2 linked regions of the Ovis aries genome follow. The protein of the gene in region 1 interacts with the protein of each later gene in a pairwise test. Links are inferred from orthologs where the notes say so. Each region holds a gene or a part of one and is shown on either strand. Other genes may lie near its edges.

Region 1 (4,327 bases):
CTTCCCTAATATCACAGAGCTGGATAGTGGCAGAGTCAGAATCTGAACTCAGGTCAGTCTGAATCTGAAGTGCAGTAATTTAACCAGTAAGACCCGCTGCTTGGAGGCTGCTTTATATTCTGTGAACTTCCTGGAAACAGTATATTTTATATTAGAGTTTAGCACAGTTTGTTTCCCCATTTGATTTTGTGGCTAGATAATACTTTTCCATTCTGTAATTGTATCCTTTCTGCATTTTCAAAATGCAGTCGTTATATATATATATGACCTCACACAAAATCTTGTTTAGTAGAATCATTTTGCTTACGTGCTATTTCTTTTTCCCTCAGAAATCCGAGCTGTTCCACTTGTTAACAGAGAGCGAGGACGATTTGAAGACTTAAAAGTTCACTTTTTGACAGTTCCTGAAAACGAGATGAAGGAAAATCTCCTGAAAGAGTACTTGATGGTGGTAGAAATCCCCGTTCAGGGCTGGGACCATGGCACCACCCATTTAATTAATGCTGCAAAGTAAGCAGTTTGTTTTTGGCTCTTTCCTGTGTCATCTTTAAGCTGCTTCTGCCTCAGAGACCAATAGTAAAGTTATTTGAAGCCAGTTTCCTCCAACGTGAAACAAATTTAGGGGCTTGTGTGTGTCAGAGACAATCAGCTTAAGTGGCACTGACTTTGGTTTTCAAATGAAAACAAGGAATTTTTCCAGAGGCTTGTCCTGTGTATCTGGATGCTTGGAAGCCAGCACGGTGGCTTCAAAAAGTGCGTTCACATCAAGGATACTTTTTTTTCTTTTAATTGCCCTAGTGCTAGACTAACAAGTGAAAATTCTTAGAAACAAAAGCCTCATTCTCCTGGCTTCTGGGTAAGGCAGACACATCACATGCAGGCTGGGCTGTAGAATGTGTTTCTGTAGCAGCCACATGAGTTGGCCACGTGGATCAGGGAGGAGAGACCCAGAGTGCGGGTTTATAGGTATCAAGATTGTAAACACTGGCTTGATGATAAAGAGATGCCTGTTTCCTAGAACTTGAAGTGCACAACACCGAGAAGGCCTAAGCTAAACAATTTCTCAGCGTGGAGATGAACAAATTTCAGTGAGTCAGAAGTCAGCACGGAGTGCCTGTTGGTGCGTCCGCCTCTTAGTTACTGCTCATGGCAGTTAACGCTGATAGGCACCAGACGCACATTTAAAATTAATAGCAGCAAAATACGGAATGCAACCTTCCCGTATAGTTTGTGTTGGAAAGTAGACTTGTCCCAAATGAATACCCTGAATAATGTTTCAGTAGAAATTTGATCTCTGAGAATTTAGATAGTAAAAGTAACTATTTCAAAGAGGAATAGAGTAAGTAGAGAAGCAGTCCCCAAGTAACCCCTTTCTTTAGCATTATCTGTAATTTGGGGTGGACCACAATTAATTAAATGAGACTGATTCTCAGAATAGTGATGTCTTCTCAGCATTACTGGACTGTGTTACGTTAGAAGTGCAAACTATCACAGACTGCATTTCAGTAGGTGGGTAGAAAGTTATTGCCACAATCCATATTTTCAGTTTGCTCTATGAGCCAATGATATAAAATTGTGTGTGTATGTGTGTTTGTGTGTGTGTGTTTGTGAAGTCTCATATTTTTCCTTTTGTTCTTTAGGTTGGACGAAGCTAACTTACCCAAAGAAATAAACCTGGTAGATGATTACTTTGAACTTGTCCAGCACGAGTACAAGAAGTGGCAGGAAAACAATGAGCAGGGACAGAGAGACACACACCCCCAGAATCCTCTGGACCCTTCCATCCCCCAGCTTTCTCTCATGGAAATCAAATGTGAGACACCCAACTGCCCATTCTTCATGTCTGTGAACACCCAGCCTTTGTGCCACGAGTGCTCAGAAAGGCGGCAAAAGAACCAAACGAAAGTCCCAAAGCCCACCTCCAAGCCGGGCCCCGAGCTGCTCCCCGGCCTGGTGCTTGGGACCTCCCGGGGGGAAGTCTGGAGTCCTGCGGAGCCTGCCGGAGGCCCCCACTCAGCCCCTCCGACGGCACCCAGCCTCTTCCTCTTCAGCGAGACCACGGCCATGAAGTGCAGGAGCCCCGGCTGCCCCTTTACCCTCAACGTGCAGCACAACGGCTTCTGTGAGCGATGCCACAATGCCCGGCAGCTGCCAGCAGGCCACCCTGCGGACCCCACACGGCTTCCTGACCCGAGTAAGTGCCGAGCCTGCCTCCAGGATGTCACCAGGACGTTTAATGGCATCTGCAGTACTTGCTTTAAAAGGACTACAGCCGAGGCTGCCCCGAACCTCAGCTCCAGTGGCTCCCTGTCCTGCCACCAGCGCTCCAAGTCTGACCCCTCACAGCTGGCCCAGAGCCTGTCCCCACACGCCTGCCGCAGAGCCGGGCCCGAGGCGCCCTCTGGTCACCACTCCCCGGCCACAAGGACTCCAGGGGACAGGAAGGGGACCAGCAAGTGCAGGAAAGCGGGCTGCATGTACTTTGGGACCCCAGAGAACAAAGGCTTTTGCACGCTGTGTTTCATCGAGTACAGAGAAAATAAACGTGAGTGTCATGATGGGTTTCCTCTCCTCTGCTGAAAAACTCCCGAGTAGAGGGCTGTATGCCCCTTAACTTCAAGAAGGGAGCCCCTCTGGGCCATGGGGGGGAGTGTGGCTTGCCTGGGGGCAGAATCCCAGTAAGTCTTCCAGCACGCTTGGAAGTAAAAGCACAAAATAGCATGTTCCAAGACCCACAGAGCTCTGTGCAGAGTTCAGAGAATTTGTTTTATAAGGTCATGCAATGCAATGTTTGTAAGGTAGAGTTCAAACAAGACTTCTTTTGAAACTCAAGCGAACTAGAGAAAATTCAAAATCTGAAGAGCAGTAACTGAAAAGAGAGCTTCCCTGGTTTCTCCAATGGTTGAGAATCCTCCTTCAATGTGGGAGACCTGGGTCTGATCCCTGGGTTGGGAAGATCACCTGGAGAAGGGGATAGCTACCCACTCCGGTATTCTTGCCTGGAGAATTCCACGAACAGAGGAGCCTGGTGGGCTACAGTCCATGGGGTCACAAAGAGCCTGACATGACTGAGCGACTAACACTTTAGGGCTTCCCTGGTCGCTCAGAGAGTAAAGAGTCTGCCTGCAATGCAGGAGACCCAGGTTCAATCCCTGGGTCAGGAAGATACCCTGGAGAAGGAAATGGCAACCCACTTCAGTATTCTTGCCTAGGGAATCCCATGGACAGAGGAGCCTGGCGGGCTACAGTCCATGAGGTCACAAAGCGTCAGACATGACTGAGCGACTAACACGCACAGACAGCTGGAAAGAGGGCGGTCTCCACTGACTACATAAGAATGCCTTTGTGGTTTTAGAAATATCAAATCTGAAAGAAGGATGGGCACTTAATGTCTCTGCTTGTTCTGTGGCTGTGACCTACCCGTTCAGCATGTTCCAAAGGGAGAGACTTGTAGAGTCAAAGATGTTTTAATTCCAGTGTTATTTTTGTTGTTTAGTTTGCTGCGTGTCTGAAAAGTTGCTCTCCTAGAGTGCAACTGGCCTAATCTGTGTCAGAAAACTGTCCTTCTGCTGGGTGGCCCATACGTTTTCCTGATGAGCCTCCACTCTCTTGCAGATTTAGTCGCTGCCTCTGGGAAAGCCAGTCCCACAGCCTCCAGGTTCCAGAACGCAGTCCCCTGCCTCGGCAGGGAATGTGGTGCCCTTGGTAGCACCGTGTTTGAAGGATACTGTCAGAAGTGTTTCATTGAAGCTCAGAATCAGAGATTCCATGAAGCAAAAAGGACTGAAGAGCAGCTGGTGAGACCTCTCGAGGGACTTCCCCGTCTCCTGCAGGCCCGGCCTCCTTCCCAGGGTGATAAGCGGGCTTTTCTCCCTGCTGAGTTCCAGGGAAAAACCAGGGGAAAAGTCAGCCTGGCCCCCAGGCTTGGACATGCAGCAGTTCCTATTGATTTTCATGGCCTAAGTTTGCTTTTGAATTCATTTGAAGAAGCAAATGAAACTAGCCGTGGAATAAAACCCATGAAAGCCTCTGAGAAGCCAGATGGTGATCAGAGACTTCTTGGATTTGTAGAAGTACAGACCTCCTAGTGGCCAGCAGGCTTCCTTAACTAATAACAAATCCTCTGTCATGAGATCCAAGGAGGAAGCAGATCACCCCAGGTGCCTCCACTTACTGGCCAAAAGAAAGCAAGCATTTACTGACAGATGCCTTCCCTGTTGGTTGTTGGATGGTAGAGAATCTGTCTGAGTGAGGATAGCTTAGTATTCACGCAGTTACTATTCATGCAATTACTATTCACGCAGACAGAAGCTAGCCTCTGTGTTAG
Region 2 (4,722 bases), on another chromosome or scaffold:
CTCGCATGGCCTTTCGCAGTTTCAACATTTATCCTTACTGAACAGAATGAACCATATGACCCCTCCTAAGTACAGGGGGGTTGCTGGGAGATGTAGGTGAGCAGATGAATTGTTATCTCTGCTGTAGGCTTATTCTAGTCATGTGGGTGAAGATGTCAGACAGGTCAAGGTGAGACTTGTCTTACAGTGTAGGATTCGAGTCAGCAAGCCTTACATAGGACACAACTCTTAATATGACTTAGATAAAAAGAGGTGGGGAGAAAACTCACAGTTCTGAACTGGAGCACCAACTCTTTCTAAATTGTCTAGATTTAGGGTGTATCTTAAAATTGTCCTTCATTTAATAAGACCTTTTCATGTGGTAGAGTCTTGTCTGTAGAATTTCTCTCTTGAAAATACAAAAATGGCTGTGAAGGCAAAACCAGAGTCTTAAATTGTGGTATGATGTATAAAGTAATGAGAGCATTTGTTTAAAAAAACACTGGTATTCCCACTACTGTTATAAAATAAAATACTATAAGTAGTATTTTATTTTTTTTCTACCTCAAGATATTAGTGTATTTTAACACTGTGGAATAGGTGAATACAATTGAGATTTAAACCAGCAGTGCCTGAAACTATGTCTTACTGGTTAATAAATATTTTTTTTAGCTACATGTTATCCAGAAATTATTGCATTATATTAATGGTGGCTATTTTTGCCTTGGTGTTTTTTTGTTTGTTTTTTTTTTTCCGGCCTTGCCTTGAGGCTTGTGGGATCTTAGTTCCCCAAGCAGGGGTCAAATCCACGCCCTTGGCAATGAGAGAGCAGAGTCCTAACCACTGGGCCCCCAGGGAATTCCCGTAATGGTGATTAGTATAGTTGGGAATTGACTGAGGTGAGGTGAATCATTTTAAGAGGTATTCACTGATTGCTGTATAGAGGGTTTGAGAAAATGAAAAGCTGAAATCACCAAGATTTTTGTCTGTTTCAGGAAAACTTTTAAACAAACTGAATTATGGTTCACAGCTCTGTTGCTGTGCGTCTTGGTGAATACACCCAGGTCTCTCGCAGTCTGTACCGTGTACAGAGTCAGTGCCTGGTATTTGTATATAATGTTCTCGACCAGGGGTCCCTGACCTCCAGGCCATGGACTGGGACGTCCTGTCAGATCAGCGGTGGCGTCAGGTTAGATATAAATTGCATGATAAGTGTAATGTGCTTGAATTCATCTTGAAACCATCCCACCCCCACCCCTGGTTGGTGGAAAAATTGTCTTCCACGAAATCAGTTCCTGGTGCCAGAAACTGGGAACCGCTGCCCTGGGCTTTCCACGGTGCCTTCACACAGATGAGGCCACTTGTGCCTCACAGCAGCCCCCAGAGAGTTGGCAGTGTTCTTCCTCTCCAGTTAGCAAACGGAAGTTCTCAGAAGCTGAGTGATTTGACCAAGGTCATGTTTCTTGTAAGTAGCTGAGCTGGTGCAAGGTTGAGCCAAATCTGCTGTCGTGGACAGTGTGTCCTTGTACCAAAGTTAGCACTTTGCAGACGATGGGATAAAAATGGCTTGTATGTTTAAGGTACCTACCACTTGATGGGCACTGCCAAATATAACACTGAAAGTCCTATCTTTTGCTTTAAGGTTAATGAAACAATCATTGCATGGTGTTTTTCCCTATAGTATGGGGAAAAACAAATTTGGTGAAAACCAGATATTTCTTGAAAGAAGAAAAGGCTGTATGTTTAACATAAGCTTCTAAAGAATTGAGCCATCTCTGGCATTGAGGAGGCAGATTAGGAAAGTGGAGGAAAACAGCTCGAAAGATAGACGTGAGTTTGGGTTCTGGCTCTCTGCTCTCTCCTGGCTGTGCTGCCCTGGACACAGCAGTTGGCACCTCTGAACCTCTACTTCTTCACCTCATGGAGGGGGAAGGGAGTGTTGGAAACGGATCTACCTGTAGGACTGCTGTGAAGGTAAAAACACCTTTTTAGCAAAGTTCCTAACCCGGTGGGTGCTCCTGCTCAAGTATTACCGGAGGCATTTGGAAATAGACATTTCCCATTTAGCTGTGTTTCCTCCCAGATGGGTTGAAAGAAGATTGGCACGTACGCGCCTCCTGGGCCTCGAAGCCTGATGTTCACTTTCTCTCTCCCTCTCGTTTTAGGGAATGACCATGGATAAAAGTGAGCTGGTACAGAAAGCCAAGCTCGCCGAGCAGGCCGAGCGCTACGATGACATGGCTGCAGCCATGAAGGCGGTCACGGAGCAGGGGCACGAGCTTTCCAACGAGGAGAGAAACCTGCTGTCCGTCGCCTACAAGAATGTGGTCGGCGCCCGCCGTTCATCCTGGCGTGTCATCTCCAGCATTGAACAGAAAACCGAGAGGAATGAGAAGAAGCAGCAGATGGGCAAGGAGTACCGCGAGAAGATCGAGGCTGAGCTGCAGGACATCTGCAATGACGTGCTGGTAAGAGGCCAGTGTTCCTGTTCTAAAGAACACCTCTTAATAGCGTTCATTTCATGAACAAACGCCACCTCTCAAACAGCTCTTGAGAGAAAGGTGGCTGAATATACTGGGAAGCTGCAAACCATTTGCAGCTAAGTTTTAAGCACACTGTGTGATTTTTTTTTTTTTTTTTCTCCCTCAGCTCTTAACCTGATCAGAGGTTGCTCATCACTTGTGGGATATTTTCCTCTCTCTTCCAAAGACCTCTGAAAAACGGGAATGTTTGCTCAACATCCCTCCATCTTTTCTTTAGAAATTGAGGGCAGAGAGGCAGCATTTTCGATAGGTGCACCCACAGAGAGGCTGTTCTCTGTGGAGTCTGACGGCGGTGTCCTCTCCGGGAGGGGAGAGGGGAGCCAAAAGCTGACCTATCTCTCAGCTGCTCCCTGGTCCCTGCACAGTGGTAGTTTTGTAAGTTAGCCCTGTCCATCAGTTTGGGCCTTCTTTCCAAAGGCAAATCACAAGTGGAATGGAGATTTTCCCTTGCCGTGATTTCATATGAACCTGAGTTGGACCACTGATTCCTCGCTGCTTTCCCTCGAGCCATCACCTGGGGGTGGGTGGGAGGGCCTCATACCGTAGAGCAAATCATGATCACACTGTCTTTCCCTCACGTCTTGAGCCCACTGGGAACTCTCTCTTTCTTCCAGGTGAAATCAGGTAAAAATGAATGGTGAGGGCTGCTTTGAAGGGAGAAGGAGTTCACATTTGTGGATCTCCCTCCTCCCCTGCTGGCTGCCTTTCCGAGTTACTGCCCTTGACACCTTTTGAAAACCAGTACAGAGCTTGTTAGCCATCAGGCAGGACTCCTCATGTCCAACCCATAAGGAGTCGCACCCTGTCTGTCTGCACAGATGATTAAAACGACTACCGCCCCCCGCCCCCGCATCCTCTCACTCTGATTGATTCGGTCCCCCTTACTGCTAAGCTTTTGCATCAAGCTGCTGTTTAATTTTTTTTTTTTTTTTTTTTGGTTAGACTCGTGGTATAAGAGTGTCGTGGCTAAATTTGTTGCCTGTCGGTCATTTGGGGGTTTGTTAATGGTGCGCTAATTCCCGAATGTTAGGTACATCTGGTACTCAGATGAAGTATGGCATGCACTCCCAAGGCAAGAAAGTTCCCTAATTCCTGAACGGTAGACCAGCTTTTACGAGCATCTGAAAGAATGTGAAGAAAAGCATGGTACTTACTGCCTCTTAACCAGTTTTTCAGGATGCCACATTCTAAAACAACTCTTCGAAAATATTGCTCTGTATACGAAGCGTGGACTCCTTCACAACTGCTTTTGTTGTAAGCATAAATGTTTAAAGGAATTTATTATTAATAATAGTCTTAGCTACTTTTGGAGTGCTTCCTAGTGCCAGGCGGCGTGTTAAGCACTCTGAACATTGGCTCATTTATCCTCGTAACTGCACTAGGAGATGGCTGTTGGGCTTCCCCTTGTGTAGCTGAGGAAACAGGATCAGGGCAATCAGGTCCTTTGTCCAGGGTCATACAGATGGTAAGCAGCAGAGGAGGGATTTTTTTACCCAGGTCTGAGCGATTCTAAAGTTAGTTCTTGGAATTTCTCCCTACTATCACCCTTTTTCTTCTGAAGTGGAAAGATTTTTTTTTTAAAATTACAGAATTAATACGATTTTTTTTTAAGCACAAGGCAGAAGAGTATAAATAAGAAAACTTTAAAATCACTTCTAATACTATTACTTAGAGAACCATTGTTAACATCTTGATAAATATTCTTCTAGATTTTTCCCTTAGGTATTTATATGCATGTGCATATATCTGTTTTAATATTAAAATAGGATTCACTTGGTATTTATTATCCGTTTTTCTTTTTCCCCACTCAGACTTCTTGTGGAGAGCCTTTCCACATTATCAGTGTAGTTCTGCCTCGTCATTTTTAATGCCTGTAGCATGCCATTGTATGGCTGTACTTTAACCCTTTATTGGACCGTCAGAGTGGATTTTAATGGATACTGGCATCTGTTATGACCTGGGCTAAAAACTATTTAAAAACTTTGGATGAAAATCATGTATTTTGTAATCACGACCCCTCCCCCCCCAATTATTTAGAAGTGGTAGTATCTCAAATCTCAAACATAGTTTTAACATCTTGTAAGTAATATTTCCAGAGTCTTAACAGAATGTGGATCATTTTTTAGGAGCTGTTGGATAAATACCTTATTCCCAATGCTACACAACCAGAAAGTAAGGTGTTCTACTTGAAAATGAAAGG

What was found.
Region 2: the proteins of TNFAIP3 (region 1) and YWHAB interact in a two-hybrid assay, tested with the Homo sapiens proteins (2 studies listed by BioGRID). The link is inferred for Ovis aries from reciprocal best matches to the Homo sapiens genes TNFAIP3 and YWHAB.

The regions. Positions count from the first base shown.
Region 1 is NC_056061.1:63,034,669-63,038,995, forward strand, and holds part of TNFAIP3 (tumor necrosis factor alpha-induced protein 3), read left to right. Parts: intron 1-329; coding exon 330-510; intron 511-1,640; coding exon 1,641-2,545; intron 2,546-3,615; coding exon 3,616-4,088; 3' UTR 4,089-4,327. UniProt on the Homo sapiens protein: Ubiquitin-editing enzyme that contains both ubiquitin ligase and deubiquitinase activities.
Region 2 is NC_056066.1:73,254,391-73,259,112, forward strand, and holds part of YWHAB (14-3-3 protein beta/alpha), read left to right. Parts: intron 1-2,144; 5' UTR 2,145-2,147; coding exon 2,148-2,447; intron 2,448-4,648; coding exon 4,649-4,722. UniProt on the Homo sapiens protein: Adapter protein implicated in the regulation of a large spectrum of both general and specialized signaling pathways. Binds to a large number of partners, usually by recognition of a phosphoserine or phosphothreonine motif.